Linked DNA regions of Caenorhabditis elegans. The protein of the gene in region 1 purifies or fractionates together with the protein of each later gene. This does not show direct contact. Each region holds a gene or a part of one and is shown on either strand. Other genes may lie near its edges. The genes, in order: kin-1, sur-5, ZK856.7 and pold-1.

Region 1 (4,602 bases):
GATGGAATTATGGGTATATGTCTCATCTTGTGGTTTCTACTGACATCTTTTTAGGTGACTTATTTTATCTTGTGTCTACAGTCACAAAAAATTGATTGTTACCCAGAAAATGTGTCTACCTACAAGTTTTGAGGTTAAATTTTTTGATAAGATAATAAAAAATCCACTTTATCGATTTTTAGACAAATTCCATTTATGGCCATGAATAAAATCAAATATGGGAATTTCATATGATTGATTCGATTATTTAACCCCCGGTTGCCCTCGTAATACCTATGTGGAAAAGCAAGAGAGAAATAAAAAGAGCAGGTGGTGGTGGTAGTGACTCTCCAGGAGCAGTGTCTCTAATGATAGTTTATTTTGACATAGGTTGACTGCTTGAAATATAAGAGAAATAGTGAGAGACGGAGATTTTTTAAAGAGAAAAAAAACAACTTTTCTGAAAAAAAAAATCAAGTAAAAGGAGTTTTAAACATTTTAATTTTAGAAACCAACCAACATATTTGTTGGATTTTCAAATTTAGACAATTTCCCAATAAAACAGTGATACACATGCGCGGGAGTTAAACTTATTATTAATTATACCAATTAAAATTGACCAGTAATAGAAACTACCATATGTTTCTACTGACTATGAGCGGGAAATCCTGACAGGAATAAAATGGAAGAAAAATGAAAAGCAGTGAGAGTAAATACGTTGCCACGGGCAGCCAAGACAAGGTGTGAAATTGAAGAAAAAGAAGAAGTAAAAACGGAGACAAATATTTCAGCTTCTCTTTCTCCCTCTCTTTTATAATTGTAGGCTAAATGAGTCAGTTGTCAGAACTTGCAAAGGAATTTCGGAGTTCGAGTTGTTGGAAATTATAATACTATGAACTTTAGGTACCCACATTTAAAGTCCGAACTCTGCAAAATAGACTGAAGAAGAAAGAGAGGAGCTTGAAAATATGGCGTAAACACGAAAGGATAGCAGGATAAACCAAATGCTCAAATGTAAGCAAAAAAAAAGCTCAAATGTAATGCAAAAATAACAATGTACCTACATCCATATTATGTAGATAAAACCCTTTATAATAAAGTTGGATGCACGATTTCGAATACTAGTGAATTGATTGTACAACTAAAACGGCACGTTCAAAAATGAGATTGCATAGCTTACTTCTGCCAGATGCTCGCTCAGCGGAAGAAGTCGACAAACGATAGATATTAATATTTATCATAGAACCAAACTGAAACCAAAGAAACCAAGGACTGTATTAGCAAATTTTCCAACTATATTCGCGTCAATAAAGGAAATATTACAGTTCTGAAGCAAAACTTCGATGAATTGCGATCAAACTCTAGTTACAGAATGATTTGGCGTTCAATAATACGCAGATAATTGTACGATAATATAAATACTTTCAAAAAATAACCTACCTATTTATGACTCTTTCTCATACTTATCCCCCATCAAATAATCTTTTTAAAAAGCGTACCATATCTTTCCTGAATCTCGTCATTTGGTTGTGGTCCAATTGTCAAATATTGCGTGGATGTTGGCGATGAAGAAGACGACGGTGAGATGTGTCCTTGGAAGAAGCTGAGGAGATGAACGGGAACTGCTTGATCTCCAAATAATGCACAATGTGCAAGCCAGTAGCCCTGAAATACTTGCATTTTATTTTTGGTAGAAGGAATAAAAAATTATATTGTTGCGCAGTTTTGAGAGATTTTTTCCCGCAATAAATTTCTTCAAAATGCACGTTACAACAATAGTCTCTGTTTTGTCAGAACACTTTATTTCCATCAGGGTTGAGAAGTTTTTCCTCATTTCGCCAGTAAAAAAATGTCTTTAAAAAAATAATTGCTGAAATTACTGGATGAAAAATCTTACATTTCGTTTGATACCGATGACATTCAGAAATGAATTTAAATTAAATTAAAACAAGTTCAAAATTCGGTGAAACTTACTATTAGAAATTAGAATTTATCTTTTGTTCGCCACGTGGAAAGTCAAAAAAAAAAAATTTGTGAAAAATGTAGTTTTTCCCAATATTGCCGTCTATGCGCTAAGGGAGGTGATTCTATTTTGAAAAAAAAATCTGGAAAAAAGTACCTGCCACTGAGCTGGTGATAAGTTGGTTGCCAAAAAGCATAACCAGTTTTCCCAACTTGTTACAGCTGCCTGTGGAGGGTTGTTGTCGTCTGGCTGCTGACTGTTTGAGCCACTTGCGGGAATGGTATGAAGCCCGAATAGATGTGCTGGTGAAGAAAGAAGGAGTTCCTGGAAGTGTAGGTGAATTGGTAAGAAGATTTCACTGAATATATAATCTTGTTAAATTCCAATTTCATACAGGTACAAAGGCTCATGTATGCCTTCATACCTACAGAACGTCCAGTACTTGCAACCTACTTCGCTGCGCCTAACCTAACAATAACCCCTAATCAGGCATTTTTGTGGGCTGGTCTGAGTGTGCGGTACACGCAAAATTTAAACTTAAAAGTTCTCAAATGCTCCAATTTTTGCGGCATTATGAAGGTCGCGGATTTTGGCAGAATTTTAGTTTACGATCGAACTCCATTTTACTTAAAATGTATTTGTATTGTTCCGAACATTAAATTGAAATATAAAACTACAAACAATAACCAATTTTCGTAAAGAAATGAGCGTCGATCAAAAATAATGGTTTGTTAGACCTAGATTTTTATTATTTTCTTTCAAGTTTTTTATATTTTATTCAAGAAACATCCGAGGAAAAATTTAATTTACAGGCCTTTTTATTAACTAGCACCACCTGTAGTTATAAAAGTCTCACTCTAAGTTTCAAATCCATCTGTGGTTGTAATTGCTCCTGTGATTGTGATGCTTGAACATTTGTAGAGGTTGAAGGTCCAGCTTCGTCAGTTAGTAATGGCATTGGCGATAGATCGACAATTTCAACAGTGTCAGCAGCTTTTTCGCATTTTGCCAAAATCCTATCTTCACCATCCTCTACTTTTCTTCTCTTCAACGGGCTTGGGTCCATCGTGATAAGGATAAATGGAATAACTGATTAGTAGTTTAGTATGTGCAATATTTTTGTGAGACTCAGGGTGCGAAAGGGAACAACATACACAAATAAACGAAGATGAAGAACGGTATTGTGAGCGAGTGTCTCTGTGTGGAGGTGCGCGTTTAGAAAGGATCGGCCATCTCCCTCTCTCCCTCTGTGTCTTTCATTCCACGACTCTCAGTGTTTGTTTAAGAACACACTGAGAATGGACACGGCCACGGACGGAGAATAGTATGACAAAGCCCTTTTGGTCCTATTCAGGTGAAGAACATAAAATTCGTTTTTTATGTCGGAGTATTATTACCCAATGAATTTTTGAGCACCGCGAGAGAAACTTGAACGCATGACTAGTTTGAGATTTTCAGATTTTTCAAGATTTTTCAAACGTTGTTTCATAGCTACTTTTTGCTACATAAGAATGACGATAGTACGCATTACGCACTTTATTTATAAAAATTCAAGGAAGGAAGAAGTTGAGTTTCATCAGGGACTTGTTTTTGCTGCAGCAGCCTTATAGTAAATCCAGTGTATCACTTTAGGCACACGCACGCTTCAACATTTTCTGGAACAGCTACAATATTTACTGCAAGATTTTTTGAAAATTCACTATGATATTAGATTTTATTTTTATTGTTTGAAATCTAAAAACCTTTCCGTTTGTTTTCAAGTATATTTTCAATGCTTTTATTTCTAGCTTGGCAAAATGAAACTCAAGAAGATGTCGGAAAATCACCGGAAAAAAATCAATTCTTCACTTTGAAAATTTCTAATAGGTATGATCAGCAAAGCACAAAATGTACACAAAAACAAAAAACACGAAAAATGAAAACTTGGGCAACACTATAAAAACCCGGACTTTTTGGTGGGGACGAATATTTTCAGAAAACTGGAAGGAAACGGGAAACTCAAATGGAACAGAGGTTTGTGTCATGAGATTAATAGGTGGAGAAGTTAAAAAGAAATATAATTAATGGTTTTTTTTAGATTTCCGGTCGATCAGTGACCACACTCTTTTCCGGCTGAACTTTGTCGTTTTTCTGTTTCTGGCGAGAATTGGTTTTTGGCTGCTTTGGACGTTGTGCAGCAGCACCTTAAATTTTCTTTGTCTCAAGAAAATAATCATTTGTGAATTCTTACCCTTAGGCCTACAAGCCCATCGAATAGAATCCAAAAGAATCAAGATAGCAGGTAAGAACACGAGACCATGAAGATTGCACAGTACTACACATAACACCATGGTTTTCACGAATACCTTGAAAAGAGTGGTTTTGATTGAAAATTTGAATACTAAAATCTCACTTCTGCCATATACAGGTTAACAAATAATAGACTGCAGACACACAAAATTGTGGACAACGCTGCCTGCAATGCTGGGAATGCAACAGAAGATAGACAGTTTGCAAGACGAGATGATGGCGGAGACATGGGTCCTTCTTGTATTGCTGAAATTAACTATTACTCTCCAGGATATATCATAACAAAAAACTAACAAGCTTGATAGTAATGATATGATACGTGAGCGGGAATATCGACAGAGAACCCAATGGAGATAATCATTGCAGCCATT
Region 2 (6,302 bases), on another chromosome or scaffold:
TTATTATGTCTTGCCGCACCAACGCTTATTGAAACACACAAAGATGGACGAAGGGGACAAACCAAGGATGTTACTTGTGATTTTGAAAATCAAGTTTGTTGAAAAGGAGCTCAAAAGTAAACACTCCTTATTCAGAAATTTAGCTTTACCGATTTTCTATGCATTTATTTATCCTAGGTACTTATTTTATCCATGCATTTTTATCTTTGCAAAACTTTAAAAACAATTTTGCAAATGTTAACTATCTCAAAATCACATTAAAATGAAATGTGTAATGAATTACAAGACAACTGAATCTGTTTCAAGCAATTGTTTTCCAATTTGTGTGTTATGTAACATAAAGTGTTCCAAAAGCAAACATAGAATTTTAGAGTCAGAAATGTCCACATTTTACATGGGAACAAACTCTTCTAATTTTATACATTTTAGGCTCGTACCTTTACAATACTTTCTTTTGAAATTTTGAAAATATTTCCTACTATTTCAATGACGGTCTTCATTTTAACGTTTTTGAGGACATGCCCAAAATATCATCTAGTGCAAAATGTTTATTCCTTAATGATAATGAAACCATTAAATTTTCTTCCTCTTTCAAAGTATTTCACAGGGATTTATTTTTTGATGACGACGGAACAGTGAAATCAGAGTTATTTCGTTGGGGAGTGAGAGAGAAACCGGTGCAAATAAAGAAAACCTGGGTGCTAACATAAGGGGAAATATGAATGAATTAACACAAAGTTTTAAATTAGATTTGAAGGTGAGAATGTAAAGGACCACAAAGCTCAAAAATTGATGTTGATGATGACATGAATGAGAAAAACAGGTTCAGGCAATGAGCAAGAAGGAAAGCGTGAATATATAATTTTCAGAAACAGAAACAAATAAACCGTTGAAATAAAATTAAAGATTAAAGTCTGTATTGAACGAAATGATCAAGAGATTCTGGATTGCGAATCGAAGACGCTTTCTGGACGGCCTTTCCACTCACAATTTGCTTAACGGCAACTTCCACTTTCTTTCCGCTTGAAGTATACTGAAAAAACAAAGTTTTTACAAATATCTCAATCGTAAATAGCTACCGGAATATCATCAACTGCGTAAATTTTGTTTGGAACATGTCGCGGGGACATGTCGTTCCGGAGTTTAGAAACAATGGCTGCCTGGATACTGTGTGTGAGCTCTTGACCCGGAACCATTTTCACAAACAGCAAAACTTCCTCGTCCATGCCCTCTTCGCTGGAAAAAAAATGTTCTTATGTTTGTTCTGCCATACTAGAGAATAAAAAATATAAGTTAATTTATCAACGACCTGTTTATTTCTATTTGCAGAATAGAGAAAAGTAATTAAAACTAGCTTAATATAAAGAAGAGAATGAGTAAGTGACATACCTATTAGCAAAATAAAAACTCTAAATATGCATAATGATCAACTTACACAAGTCTTCCAGCTACAATGCAATCAGCAATATGTGGAATTTTTTCAACAACCGAATAAATCTCAGCTGTTCCAATTCGAACTCCGCCGCGATTCAATGTAGCATCACTTCTTCCGAGCATTTCTACACCGCCCGTAGAATGATTCACTCTCACAAAATCACCATGAGCCCAAAATGGTTCTAGGCGAGCAAAGTAGGCATCACGGTACTTCTTGCCATCCGTGTCATTCAAGAAATGTGATGGCATTGAGGGGAATGGGGTGACACACACTAACTCTCCTTGTTCGTCAGAGTTAATGATTTCTTCATCTGCAATTCGGATACTTTTTGGAGAAAAAAGTTGATCTATCTTTCTTCGCAACTTTTCGAAAAATGTTGAAAACTACTTTGAAAGTTATTTATAAACATTATAAAGTATGTATATTTGTTTGCAACACTGCTGTTGTTCGCCTGGGATATGGGCCTGTAATCCCTATTGTCATATGGACCTATTATTCTTATAAAGATCGAACACCTATTCAATCGCCAGGGTTCTGTGCAAAATTTTTAAAAAAAGTGGGCATTAAGAAGTTGCCGCGCTCGGCAATTTTTTCAATTTTTTGCACGTCTTACCGATTTCGGCATTTTTTTTTGATTTTGGAAAATACGATGGAAATACAATTATGCTATTTATTATTCATGGTTTTATTTTTAGAGTTTCAAGAATTTTTGAGATACATCGCAATTTGCCGAGGTCTGCCAATATTGAAAATTTTTCCAGTACCACTTTTTTCATCCCCAGTATTAAATGGTACAATTCTCGACATAACGTTCTAGCTTTTTCCGAATTGTTTTATACATTTCATTTTGCACGTACCCATGTAATTGAATGACTTAATATCCATTCCCAGGAACAAACACTGACACTCTCCTGGCGTGATTGACAATGACTTGATACCACCGACAAAGCATCCAATAATGTCAGTTCCTCCAGAAATCGACGCGATGAGAGCCTATAAAAAAACTTTGTGTTATATTTGGTTGCAAAAGAACAAGATAAGAACATACGCCTGGCGCAATATAAGTGTTGATATAAGCGAAGCACTCTTTCTTCAATGGCGAACCTGTCGAGTAGACTGTGTGTATTTTGGAAAGGTCGTACAATGTGTCTGAAAGTCGTTGATCATATTAACGGTGTTGAATGGAGGAAAATTATATGTATATACTTACTGAATGGAATTTGAAGTCGGAGGTATTCATCATAAAGCTTCGCACCCATTCCAATCATAGTCGATTGTGTCTTTGCAGCGATTTTCATGATAATATGGGTGTCAGGAGCCAATGGGCATTCATCGAATAATACAACAGATCCTTTGGAGTATAGGAACGAGATCATCCTGAAATGTTAAAAATTAAAGTTATATATTTTTGAAATTGTGAATAAGTACAATCTTAGCAATTTGCCGAAAACTCGTGATCAATTTCAGCAGCGCCAATCAAAAAAGTTGCAAAAGTGAACAAAGTTAAAGATGGAACATCCAAGCATTTGCACTAAGAACTACCAAAGGTTACTGAACGGTTGCAAAGTTGCGGCGAATTGCCAAAATGTTTTATTTCTTGAAAGCAACCTGTGAATATTTATTCGGAAATTATTTTTGTCTCTAGAAAAAATCAATATTTTAAAGCTTATCCAACAGTTCATTATTACATAAATACAAAAAAACATTTCAGGGGACAGTTTCTACGGTGTTCTAATATTATTTAAATTGTATTTTCTTGCTGATTAAAATACAATTTTAATTAAAACAAAATCTCACCAATTATACATCATCCATCCACATGTAGTGTAGAAAAACATACGATCGTGTTTCTTTGAATCTCCTTGCACCAAATGCTCCTCAATGTGCTTGAGCAAGGTTCCTCCGACCGTGTGAACCATTGCCTTTGGAATTCCCGTGGTTCCTGAGCTAAACATTACGAAGAGTGGATCGGAAAATGGTACCTAAAAATCCACATGCTTTGAATGTTTCAAATCTTAATCATACTGGAGTATATACAAATGGCAACACAACATCGGCAATGGGAGTCTTGAATTCTTCGAGTGATGAGAACTTGTCACTTTGATTGTACTTTGTTGCATCGAATTTTACAGATGTGAAGGTGTCGGATACAACGATTTTCTCGAGAGTTGGGAGCTCTGGAAGTTATACCATTGTTTTAAATTCTTATTTGACAAAAGTAACCAACCTTTTACAATTTCATTAATTTTATCGGTCTGATCAATGAGCTTCTTCTTGTAAGTCACATGATTCACTGTGAACAAAACCTTGGGGTGAACTTGTCTGAATCTGTCAAGAACACCAGCAGGTCCAAAATCAACAGACGCTGAGCACCAGGCAGCTCCGACAGCGGCTGTGGCAAAAACAGCCACCAGTGTGTCATATGTGTTTGGAACAAAGCCGCAAACAGTGTCTCCGGGTCCGATTCCATAGTTACGAAGAGATGTGGCAATGCGATAAACATCTTTGCGCAAGTTGTCGTAAGTATATTCTGTCACTGTTTCTTCGATACCTTGAATTTTGTTTGATAAATAAACGTTTGGAACATGAAACACTTACTGGCATTCAATACAGCAATATCGGTGGCGGTTCCTCTTTCGATGACATTTTCAGTATAGTTGAGAGTAGCACCATTGAACCATCTCGGTCTCTCGTTGATTTTCAAATTATGATCGATAACCTAAAAATACTTTGTTTGTTTCCGAGCTGTTACACATAAAAAATTAATGTTCCAGGAAGTGGAAACAAGTTTCCCAATACCATACCTGGTTGTAGTTTTGATGAAGCTTCACATCGGACAATTTGAGCAAATCCTCCCAGAAAATACCATAATTATCACAAGTGAATCGGTGAAATTCACGGTAGTCAGCTTAAAAATGTGGATGTTATGAATATTTTGCATTTTTCAAAATCTAGTTGCTCACAGTTTCAGTTAAATATTAAATAGCAGTTATTTGAGGTCGATTTTTCAAATTAATCAAGAGTTAAAATTGAAACCTATGATTTACTAAATAAAAAATTACCAAATTTCTTATTTGTTTTCTCTTCAAAATGATTTCTGAGTGACAATTCAAAAGTTTCCAAATTTTGTGGCGGCTTGTAATAAACTGGCTGAAGTTTCTGAACATGGCTTATTTCATTTCCATTCATTGATCCATTCGTCGTTCCATTTGTCGTTCCATTGGTGTGAGCACCATTTTCGTGCTTTTCGGTAGTTTTTCCGTTTGCAGACACTGCGGTCATTCTGAAAACAAAATGTAAAGTTCAAAGGTTTATCCACAGAAAAAAGCAACACGAAAAAAATCGAAAGGACACAAAACTAGCGATATCACCACTTCTAGGCGTATTTTTGTGAGGTTTATCACACGCTTATCATTATTTGCCAGGCCATTAACTGTGGTGTGATTGCCTACAATCACCAGATATTCAAAACCTTTTCAGTGAAGTTGTAGGAAAAATGAGAGACGAACATCATTGACTAGTGAGCACAACACATTGATCACTGTTCTATGCAAAACAATTAGCAAACGGTTCGTAGAAGGGGACTGCAATTTGGTTTAGTGTAAAACGTTCTACGTATCAACGTGATAAGAACAGTTGAGATATCTCTTGTTATCAGTGAAAATTTGGGACATCGGGACAAAGTAGGTACACAACAATTCGGAGACAAAATTTTCAATGTCAAATGTTGCGTGAGAGATCTCTAATCAAAGAAGATAACATGGCGCTGTAGGACACCGGTGTAATAAAATTGCAAGCCCGCACGTGTTGGATTAAGTTGATTTGATTTTGATTTAACGGCCGGCAAAAAAAGTGTGAAAGATTAAAAAATTATGACGTTTCATTTTTGTTACATCATGCACTTTGCGAATGGAATATGAAAAGAATATATGCGGCGTGACAAAATAGTTTGAAGAAAAACCTATATTATCCTTTTTAACATTACTCTAAAAAGTCTACTGTAAAAGTAGCCATTGACACGTTAGATTCAAAGTTTAGATAATTTCAGACGATAAAAACATGTTTTTGTTGCGTCTTCAATTTCAATTGCCCCCATCTCAATTCCGATACTATTTCAAGTTTTTTTTTTATTTCGATCGTTATACTGTTTTCCAATTGAAGAACAGCGCTCTTTAAAAAAAATAAATGCGCAAAAAAAGAAGAGAAAATAAAAAAGAAATTGAAACTTTGCAAAAAACTTTTAAAACAGATAGAGACAAAGATAGACCGAGACACAGGCATTGAAAGAAATACACAGAGAGCCGACGAGGGACTACACTCTCCACTGCAACGTATGTTTACCGCCTGCGCGTCCGTCGGTCAGCACAGTCTCTGGCCTCCACACTGCACACGTCCACTGAAAAGTGAGATCAACACAAGGGACAAGGAGAAAAAAGGTTTTTTCTATATTTTTCTTTTCCAATAGTCTGCGTTTGTGTGTGTGTTTCGTTGAAAAGGAGCGATGGATAGAAGAAGAGCGTGCCATCACGGAATGGCCTTTGCATTTTCCGATAGCTATTGTTTGATGGTCAAAATGATTTCCAACATTTACAGTTTAAATGTGTAGTTTATAGTTTTTATGAGTGGTTTTATTTCTGGTAAAACTGAAAAAACTTACTAGGGAATGACCAGAATAAGTGGAGCGATATTCAAAAAAAAAATATTGTATCGGAAAGCTGACATTCTCTACTATAAGAATATGACTGAAATTTTGGCCCATTCGGGCTGGAAATCTGAAATTTTTACGTCTGAAATTCTACGTTAACTCTTTTCACTATCCCCAATTAGTACTGCCTGCAACAGCGAGATGGCCGAGTGGATAGAGTGG
Region 3 (2,929 bases), on another chromosome or scaffold:
CAACCGATTTCAAGAGTAAAGAAAAATGCTCTCAACTCGAGAAAAGACAAATTGCTTTGTAAGATTATTCTTTCAAGTTTTTAATTATTTAATTTTATTTCAGTTGCGTTCAAAATGTACGATTTAAATAAAAACGACTACATCACACGTGAAGAATTCAAAGTCATTCTGAACAGTATGGTTGGTGCCAATATAACTTCTGATCAACTCGACAAGATTGCTGATCGAACGATTGAGGAAGCTGATGCAGATCGTGATGGAAAAATTTCTTTTGATGAGTTTTGTCGAGCAATGGAAAAAACTGATATTGAGGAGAAGATGTCGATTCGATTCCTAAACTAAGCTTTTACAAGAAATTCCCCTGCTAGTCTCGTTTTCAGTTTGCCATTTTCTCTTACCTGTACATAATTTTTGTCACTTCTCACCATTTTGCCTTGAAGACACAAACTATCTCAGAAGTTGTTTATCAATTTTCGTGTGAAATCAAAATTGACAAAGAAAAATGAATGTTTTATCAGTTTTATCATTGATTAATAGTTTTCAAACATTTACAAAGGAGCACATTGTCCCTTGCAGATGGCTCCTTGACGATCCTTTTGAACTGCCTTCAAATCATCTCCAACCTTGTAAGTGACTCTTCCAATTCCATCCAAAGTGACTTTTACGGTAGCAACTGGCTTTCCAGCATCATCCCAAGTAGTAATCTCCCAATCCTTGAGTCCACATTCATCGGCTTTCTGTTGGAAGGTGTTCTTCTGAAGCTTCTTCAAATAGCTCCATCTGAAAAAGAAAACATAATTTTTCTATTGATGTCCTCCGAACAAACCTTTCAGATTTCTTTCCATTGCTGGCAACAATTTGTCCGCTGAATTTCTTGTCTGTGTCCGATTTCAAATGAACAATGATGTCACATGCGAGAGCGACAGATAAAAAGAACAGAAGAATAACTGCGACACGCATTCTAAAAAAGTATACTGTAGACTACAATGGTTCTATTGATATGGCAAAATATCAGCAACGTTGGTGTTCTCACAAAAGAAATACATTGGAAAGGTACAAAGAATGGAGGAAGAGAAATTTTGTTATTATAGAAAATATTTTGATTGTTCAACTGTTGGTAATTCAACAGTAAAAAGGATAAAAAGAAACATGAGAACGAATAATTGGGTATAAACAGGTAGTAGTCGGTCTATCGGTCGCAGTGGTGAATGGGTAGTCTGCCACAGCGGCCGAATTGCGATCGATACGGGCTGTCCTTGAGAGCCTTGGTGTTGTTACACAAAACAACGATAAAGTAAATCAAAAAGAAGAAGACAAATGAATGAAGCATTGAATCAGTTTTGTTTTCAAACAAACACCGACTAAACGAAAAAGCAATTGGTGTGTCATTTGTGAATTTTGTTTTGACGACCACATTCTCACATTTTCAAGGATCGGCACTGATATCTGTATTCATACTAAGTATACCATGTAGGAGCACAAGAGCCTACAGACGTAGGCATGCGTAACTGGTGACATCCTAACACTACGTTCACACGATGTCAATTAACATTTGGGCTAGTAAAGAAGGCATAGTTGGACTAGGTGATCTTCGGGAAGCTACTCATGCATCGCATGCACACATCTTAGCACCTACATGTTGTATCGACATTTTAAGTATTTTATCAATTTAACAATGCAAAAGAATGAGCACCCCGCGACTGAAAGAAAATGAACTGTCATTAAAAGTTAATATTACGACATAGAAAAACTTCAAAATAAAACAATTTTTTACGATTGTTCTAGTCGATTTGTATTTCTATTAATTATATCTAAGCATCTGAACATGGGCTCGAACATGCTAGAAATTTCTAGAATTTGGCAATTTACCAATAAAAACATAAGTAATTTAATACGATATTCGACGATGTAGGCTCGAACCTAAACGATCATTTTATGTATATTTTGAACTTTTAAATACTGTTCCCGAGTATTTCTTTTCCAAATTTCATATTCAACACAATCTTCCATGTTTAATCAGATTTCACAATTTAAAGGTTAACGCGTTACAGTATTCCATGAAGCCGAATATTGAAAACTGGTATATGTTCTCTTATTGTTGTCACAAAAATCACAAAAATAAAGTACACCACGTGTGTGACTCTAGTTTTTCTAATCTTTTGGTGTTTTGTTGTTGTTCGGTTACAGTAGAGAGATAGACTAGTTTTTGAGAGTTAGACAAAAATTTTATGCCAGTATAAAAAATTTAATTGTCTTATGAAAACAGTAATGGAAGAATGATATTTTGTCTGAAGATGATAATTTAACTTCAGGAAAGGGTACAAAAGAGAGAAATGAGCTCTTCACTTTGAAATACTGTTGTGCCAAAAGTGTTGATCAGAATTCTGATCCTCCGACGGTTATCTAATAAATATCTAGTTTTATTCATTTACTTCCTTGGTCCTGATTTCAACAATGTTTTGAAAATAAATCGAATGAACTGAAGATCTTATTTCAGGTCTTAAAACCAAATTTTCGGGGATCTGTACATGACTAATCTACAAAGTAAATTAGTTGCCATAGAATCTGACGTCATTCTAAATTATTGAGTCACGATCCAGCATCCGATTATTCAAATTCAAGTTTCAACGAACTGGTCTTGAAACTCCGCACGAATATTTGTGGGCTGATTCAAATACGAATAATGTGTTTTTTTCCGATTAAACTACTATTATTGTGACATAATTTTTACATCATCATTGTAAATAAACGGTGTATATTTTTGGTTTACAATTATTTCTATTTATCGGGATTTAGATTGTCCCATTGATTTCAAGTTGTGGTGCAAAAAGATTATAATGGAGTTCCATTGCCATTCAACTCATTTCCTCTTTATTTTTAACTGCATGCTAATGAATTTGTCATTCTGTTTTTTCGAAGGATATCAAAT
Region 4 (6,168 bases), on another chromosome or scaffold:
TTATGCCTTCCCGCTAGCATATGTGCAGATATTAATCCGCCAACAACTCTGATATTCGTCTCGAAAACAGAAACATTCACATTAGCATCATCACGAGCTTTCTCAAGAACAAGTGACACTGCTCTTCGGAATTCGGTTGTATTTCCCATCACCAGAAGAGTATCTAGAGCATCAATTAATGAAAGAGAGAATGATCCCCAGGTGTCTTGTCCAACGCATGTTATTGGTTTCAGTTCATCTAGTGGAAATGCATGATCCAAATATCCGTTGTAGGCGTGGTAGAACATTTTTTGAACTTTTTCTCTATAAGAATCAATAACTGATGGAGTGAATCTTATTGAAGACTTTTTATTATCGGGAGCTTCGGAATCATCTGATGCTTGAATAATTGACGCTAATGCTAAAAAGAATATTGCTTTTCGAGTGATCATCTGAAAATTGTGGTATTTTAAATTCAAATTTAATATATCAGACAAGTATTTTAAGCGATTATCGCTTACAAAAAAGTTTAAAGAATTAAAAACATATGTTTTAATCATCAACGCGAGTTTATAAGATAACCAGTAATAAAGAAAAATGTGTGATGAGATGAATAGTGTGGTAAGATCATTCACAGTCAATAATAATTAGACAAATAAACCGGGATCATAATTAATTCATTTAGTAGGTGCCTGGAAGCAAGGATCTCCAAATCGTTCGATGACGGCACTTGCCTCCGATAGCTCGTTTCGAACTTTTTCCCTCATATAGTAGATCGGACAGTCTCGAGCCGAGCAATTCACTTTGTCTTGCATAGTCTTTGCACAATTTTGGCATTCGGTCCAGAGGCGACCAAAATGGTTTTCAAGTTCGTGCATAGTGTTCATTCTGAAATGAAAAATATAGTAGAACAATTATTGCATTTCTAATTACCTAGAAGCAAAAATCGTTGGAAGCTTCGGCTCACAGTGTTTGCAAACTGCGTTCTCTGATTCTGCTCTTGGTAAAACACTCTTGCAACCAAGACAAGTTGCAGATTTCGTTGTGAACGCTGCAAGACCTCCAACTTTACTCTGAACGACTGTACGAACTCTTGTATGTTCTCCTTCCACCAGAATCTTTTCTGCTCTATCACCCAAGATGGGCTCGAAAATTCTGGCAAGTGGTTTGGCGAGTTGATTAGTCAAGTAGTGTTTGGTGTCCAATGGAATGTTATTTTGAAGTACAAAAGTTGGATCTTCAGCTCGTTCGTATGCCGGAACATTTTTTGCAGCAGCGACAAAAACATATGGAACTCTATCTCCAAGTCTTGGTGCACTTCCAGCGTCTCTTTTCTTCATACGAGCCGCCAACTCAACGTGAGCTTGCTTTGCTTGATATTTCTGAACATAATCAATTAGTTTCGTAAGGTTTTGAAATCGAACTTACATCTCCAGACTTTGTTAATTCCTTACTGATAATCAACAATGAGATATCAATTTTATTGCAGAGCAAGTCACTAATTGTCCGTTTCGCAAAATCCAAAGCAGATTGTTGATCTCTTTCTATTAGTAATTTCTCGAGGCAAACACCGAGAACTTTTGCAACCAGAGGGCAGTTATCACGGCGAACAGTTTCTAATCCTTTACAATCCATCTTGTCATGAACATCCGGTTTAGTGAAGTAAAGGCCAGCGTATCTCTTTTTGTTAATAAGTAAATATGGGGAGTAAACTTTCTCGAATTCAAGTTTGATCGGCGGAGTGAAAATCTTGCTGACTTCTTTAGCAGCATCGAGTCCAATTTCCATTGCTTGAGCTACAGTTTCGACACCGAATTTCACCATTACAGAATCTGTATCGCCATAAATAACTTTCGCATCTGCTGGACATTTTCCATCGAGAGCTCCTTTTTTGTAAATTCTCTCCACTTCGAGTTTCGTCATGTCAATCATTTTTCTTCCGAAAGCTGTAACTGATTGAGAAATCTCGAGACATGGCAACTTTCCAACAGTTGCACCAGTGAAACCATAAACAGAATTTGCAGAGATTTTAAGCGCCAATTGTCGTCCATTGTAAACCATTCTTTTGAACTCGTCTTTCTCGTTTTTCATATCGTTCTTCGCTCGTTTTCTTGCAGCCAGAATATCCTCGAGAATCTCGGGAAGAAGCCCACGGCGCTTAGATTTGGTTGCAAAATATTGGCCAGATGGTGTCCGAATATAATCCTCATTCTCAACTCCTTGTGGGGATTTTAAAAGTGTCGTGTAACAGAGATTATGAGCAATCATAATGGATGGATATAGAGAAGCGAAATCAAGTGTTGCAATTGGTTCATTGTAAAATCCTCGAATCGGATCAATGACAGTAGCACCTTCGTATCCTTCACCATCCCCAGAATTGGCTTCAATTACCGGTAAGAAGAAATTGTTCTGCTTACATCTTCGTAGCATCATTGATAGAATCTACAACAATTTCAGTATTATAATTTAAAATATATTTTGATTTACCTTGATTTGTTGACCTTTTGTCAGTAAGAAATTCATAGGAACTCCGGTGACTCTAGCCATTTCGATGTAATTAATAATTGACATTAATTTATCAAGCAGACGAAGAGGAAGATATGCGTCTTTCAAACAATATTGAGCCAATCGCCTCCTAGTTTGTTCATCTCCTCGTTGTAAATCAGGAATAATATTATGTTCCACATCTTCTTTTTGTTCGGATAAAAATTGATATGAGACACTATTGAGTGTATAACTTCGGAGTTTGTAATCCCGAAGTACAACTTGAAGTACATCAAAAATAATTCTTCCGTGAATATCGATACTCTTGTTCACTCGACTTCCCATCTGTTTCGATGATATTGCAGCATCTCTTACAACTGAGCCTTTTTCTTTCTGACGACCAAGATGAGAAACTTGTGGCAGTGATAGAACTTTAGCACGATCCAGAATGTATGGAAGATCAAAATTGAGAATGTTATATCCAGTGATAATGTCGGGATCCACTTCACGAACAAATTCAGCCCACTTTTCGAGAAGAACTTTTTCATTCACACATTGAATGATATTTGAACCGACGACCGGTGCACATGTTCCAAGAACGAAACAATTACGAACAAATGGTTCTGCTTCACCTTCGATTTTCACAAGATTAGCTATTTGAATAATAGGATCTTTAATTGCTTCGGGAAACACTCCACGTCGACCAATACATTCGATATCCAGAGACAAAGTACTAAAAAAGTTATTTTTTCAAAAGTAAGTTCAAACTTTCAAACTTACCGAATAGGAGCAATTCCAGCCCATTCACCATCACTTTCATGAACAATCAGGTTTTTGACCGGAACTGTGACTTCTATTTGACAACGAGACGACTTTTCACTGTTTGAAAGAATTCGGCACTTTCCAGCAGGAATCTGAAATCATAAAGAATTAAAAAAAAACTAATATTGTCAAAACCTCAATCCAGCCACATCCAACAATATTCGTTTTCGCCAAGAACATGACAATCACATTAATATTTGACTCGTATAAATTCCCAACGTTCACAGGACCCTTTCCCATCAAGTTAACTCCATTTTTCAATTCCATTCGCGCTTTGTGAAGAGCTTCTGTAGATCCTGACACCTTGACAAAAGGAACTTTCGTATCAGCACCGCGGAAGTAATAAAGATTCTCTCCGTGAACTATCTCCACATGAACAAGATTATCAACTACTTTTCCAGGCAATTGAGCTTGACCGCTACCACCTCGGCGTTTTGCTGCAGCAACCATATTGCAAATTGCAGATTGTGCAGTTCCAATGTGCTCGACACCGAATCCTTGTGGTGCCTGTAAGAAATATTACCAATACTTATTTTTTAAAGCTTAGATTACCTGGAAATAAAAATGTGGAAAGTAGTCAGTCACAATGACACAAATCGAATTTCCAGATTTGGTTACACCATACAACTTCACATTTGTTCTGTCGTAAGATGTTGCAGAGCCGTCTTCATGATACGTTTCGACCTCTAAGATCTGACACGCAATGCTTTTGCTAATTCCGAGATCTTTATCGACTGCTGGCCTGGCCCATCCTGTTTTATCAATCGTTGGTACAGATGGAAGTTCATTTTCGAATCTTGACTGAAAATAAATGGTTAGTGATCATTAAAAATAAAAAATGCAATTTTTAAAAGCTTGAAATCATAATATGAAAAACTTACAACGTAACACTGCTCGAATTCGTCACTTTCACGCTTTCGCTTCACTTCTGGTTGAAACGAGCTCCCGCCAGGACGCTTGGAGGTCATTTCTGATAAAACTCAGCATTAGAACAATAAATAAACTATGAAAGTAGAAAGAAATTGTTTGTCAAAATAGTAATGTAAACGTGCTCAAACGAAACGCCGCGAATCGTTTTTTTGTCTGAACAAACGTTTAAAGATTTAATAGGGAGAGAATTAAGGCGATTAGGTGGGAATTTAAAGTTTCATAACATCGAAAATCCGTTTAGATTGTGATAATCAATAAATAAAACAATAAAATAAGAATTGAAAGTCAATTTTTTTTATTTCCAAATCTTTTCGCTTTGTTTTGCCGCGCATTTTGGGTAGCGAATGTGCGCTCCACTGCAAAAACATTTCTACCGCGCTGTTTGAAATCTGTTTTTTGGGCCAATCGATTTTACGGTTTTGTTTGGAAGCGTTTTTCACTGAGAAAAACCTGGCCACTATTTCCTCGCATTCTTTTATATGTTTTTTTTTTCGAAAAATCAAGCTAATGCGCTATGATAAATTTGTATTACCTTATTTTGTTCAATCTCGACTTTTTGCTTTCAGCTCTCGAGTTTTATTGCGCGAAAAGCATATTTACCGTCCTTTGAACATTTTCTACTCGTTTAAAATAGTTATTGTTGCGAGATATATTGAACGCCTTCTTCAAACTCTTTTCGATCATTGAAAAATATATTTATTCATTGTTGAACTTTTCTCCCTTGTCTTCATTGTGCATAACAGTTTAAATGTATCTAAATTTTATTTATTTCAGCAGAGACATGGACGACGAGCTCGATTATGGATCGGATCACTCAATACACGGCGACGTTAGAGAAGATCTGAGTGACAGCGAGCTTCAACTACCGAAGGTGAGTAGTTTTCAAGATAAATCTGTTTAAAATATTACGTCTGAAATTTTTATAAATATTTCGATATTATCAAAGTGAGAAATTGCGAATTCAAATTTGACTACAAAGAGGAAGATGCAAGATGATCGGCTCGTTTTTTTCGAGAGCGTTTTGTTTGTTTGAATTGGGAAACTTTTGATCGTTTTGCTGGAGTCAAGTTTAATGACGCAATTCTTCATTTTGAAAATATCGCATAAAAATTTAAATAGTTCAAGCTTTTTCTTCCAGTGATCTCTGCAAAGTATAGTTCTGGTTACAATCTAGTGAAATTCCAGGGTTTAAACTTTAAAACTTCCATAGCTTGGCTGAAGTTTTGTACTTGTGTGGACCTGACTTCAAGATGAAAGTTGCCGTTTGACTCGCTTTGTCTAGAAAGTGAATTTGCTTTATTTCTGTGAGAGTGAGCGTTCTAAAATGACATTTTGTAACACGTGGAAGAAATGTAGGATCGGCCACTGAATTCTCCTTCATCTGTAAAGAATTATTAAAAAGTATGTCGTGTCAATTCATTCTGGACAGTCCATTCTATAACCCACGAACGAGCGACTAATTACTTCATAATTTAAGCCGACTTGTTGACACGACACACTGGCGGTCAGTATTATCCAGAGGATGAGGTTGCTGTGTAATTACAGCGTGTTCTTAGTCTCTCTCTCTTTCTGTCTTTTTCATCCTCATCTCTCACATACAGACGCGAACATACACAAAACGCCCGCAGGTAATTGAACACAAACAGCCTGGTGGTTAAGGTAGTGACCGGGACAACGATGACGACGTCCGGAGGAAAGTGATGGAAAAGACAGGAAAGAAACAGAGAAAGACTGTCGACTGCGGCGGCGGCGACGGAGAAGGAGAGCCCCTATTGTGCCCCTCTTCGTCAGGCCATTCATCGTGTGTCCTTGTGTTGCTCCCCTCCAATTCAATACCGTCTGCGGTGGTGGAGGTGGTGGTCTCCCGAACCGAACCGCCGCGGAAATATTTGTCTAACAACTCGATGACACAAAAAGTTTTACGACAATGCCGACGATTGTAGATGGCCTTTG

What was found.
Region 2: the proteins of kin-1 (region 1) and sur-5 fractionate together in Caenorhabditis elegans (co-fractionation; one large-scale study listed by BioGRID). This does not show direct contact.
Region 3: the proteins of kin-1 (region 1) and ZK856.7 fractionate together in Caenorhabditis elegans (co-fractionation; one large-scale study listed by BioGRID). This does not show direct contact.
Region 4: the proteins of kin-1 (region 1) and pold-1 fractionate together in Caenorhabditis elegans (co-fractionation; one large-scale study listed by BioGRID). This does not show direct contact.

The regions. Positions count from the first base shown.
Region 1 is NC_003279.8:14,912,186-14,916,787, reverse strand, and holds the start of kin-1 (cAMP-dependent protein kinase catalytic subunit), read right to left. Parts: upstream 3,023-4,602; 5' UTR 3,009-3,022; coding exon 2,799-3,008; intron 2,267-2,798; coding exon 2,099-2,266; intron 1,645-2,098; coding exon 1,479-1,644; intron 1-1,478. Other genes in the region: ptr-23 (SSD domain-containing protein), read right to left, coding at 4,016-4,125, 4,173-4,287, 4,335-4,477, 4,526-4,602. UniProt on the Caenorhabditis elegans protein: Essential for larval development. Controls the rhythmic contraction of enteric muscles probably by regulating G-protein coupled receptor aex-2-mediated calcium influx in GABAergic DVB neurons.
Region 2 is NC_003284.9:7,300,853-7,307,154, forward strand, and holds sur-5 (Acetoacetyl-CoA synthetase), read right to left. Parts: upstream 4,719-6,302; 5' UTR 4,718-4,718; coding exon 4,498-4,717; intron 4,344-4,497; coding exon 4,240-4,343; intron 4,155-4,239; coding exon 4,034-4,154; intron 3,987-4,033; coding exon 3,663-3,986; intron 3,613-3,662; coding exon 3,461-3,612; intron 3,418-3,460; coding exon 3,233-3,417; intron 2,813-3,232; coding exon 2,646-2,812; intron 2,585-2,645; coding exon 2,484-2,584; intron 2,429-2,483; coding exon 2,293-2,428; intron 1,746-2,292; coding exon 1,436-1,745; intron 1,237-1,435; coding exon 1,080-1,236; intron 1,034-1,079; coding exon 908-1,033; 3' UTR 537-907; downstream 1-536. UniProt on the Caenorhabditis elegans protein: Activates acetoacetate to acetoacetyl-CoA. Negatively regulates let-60 Ras activity during vulval induction.
Region 3 is NC_003283.11:10,200,130-10,203,058, reverse strand, and holds ZK856.7 (uncharacterized protein), read right to left. Parts: upstream 962-2,929; 5' UTR 961-961; coding exon 827-960; intron 781-826; coding exon 549-780; 3' UTR 506-548; downstream 1-505. Other genes in the region: chpf-1 (EF-hand domain-containing protein), read left to right, coding at 1-58, 104-342.
Region 4 is NC_003283.11:12,039,695-12,045,862, reverse strand, and holds pold-1 (DNA polymerase delta catalytic subunit), read right to left. Parts: upstream 4,308-6,168; 5' UTR 4,254-4,307; coding exon 4,167-4,253; intron 4,087-4,166; coding exon 3,838-4,086; intron 3,793-3,837; coding exon 3,421-3,792; intron 3,378-3,420; coding exon 3,244-3,377; intron 3,197-3,243; coding exon 2,467-3,196; intron 2,422-2,466; coding exon 1,408-2,421; intron 1,362-1,407; coding exon 913-1,361; intron 868-912; coding exon 657-867; 3' UTR 516-656; downstream 1-515. Other genes in the region: F10C2.5 (alpha-1,2-Mannosidase), read right to left, coding at 1-431; Protein kup-1, read left to right, coding at 4,997-5,086. UniProt on the Caenorhabditis elegans protein: Possesses two enzymatic activities: DNA synthesis (polymerase) and an exonucleolytic activity that degrades single stranded DNA in the 3'- to 5'-direction.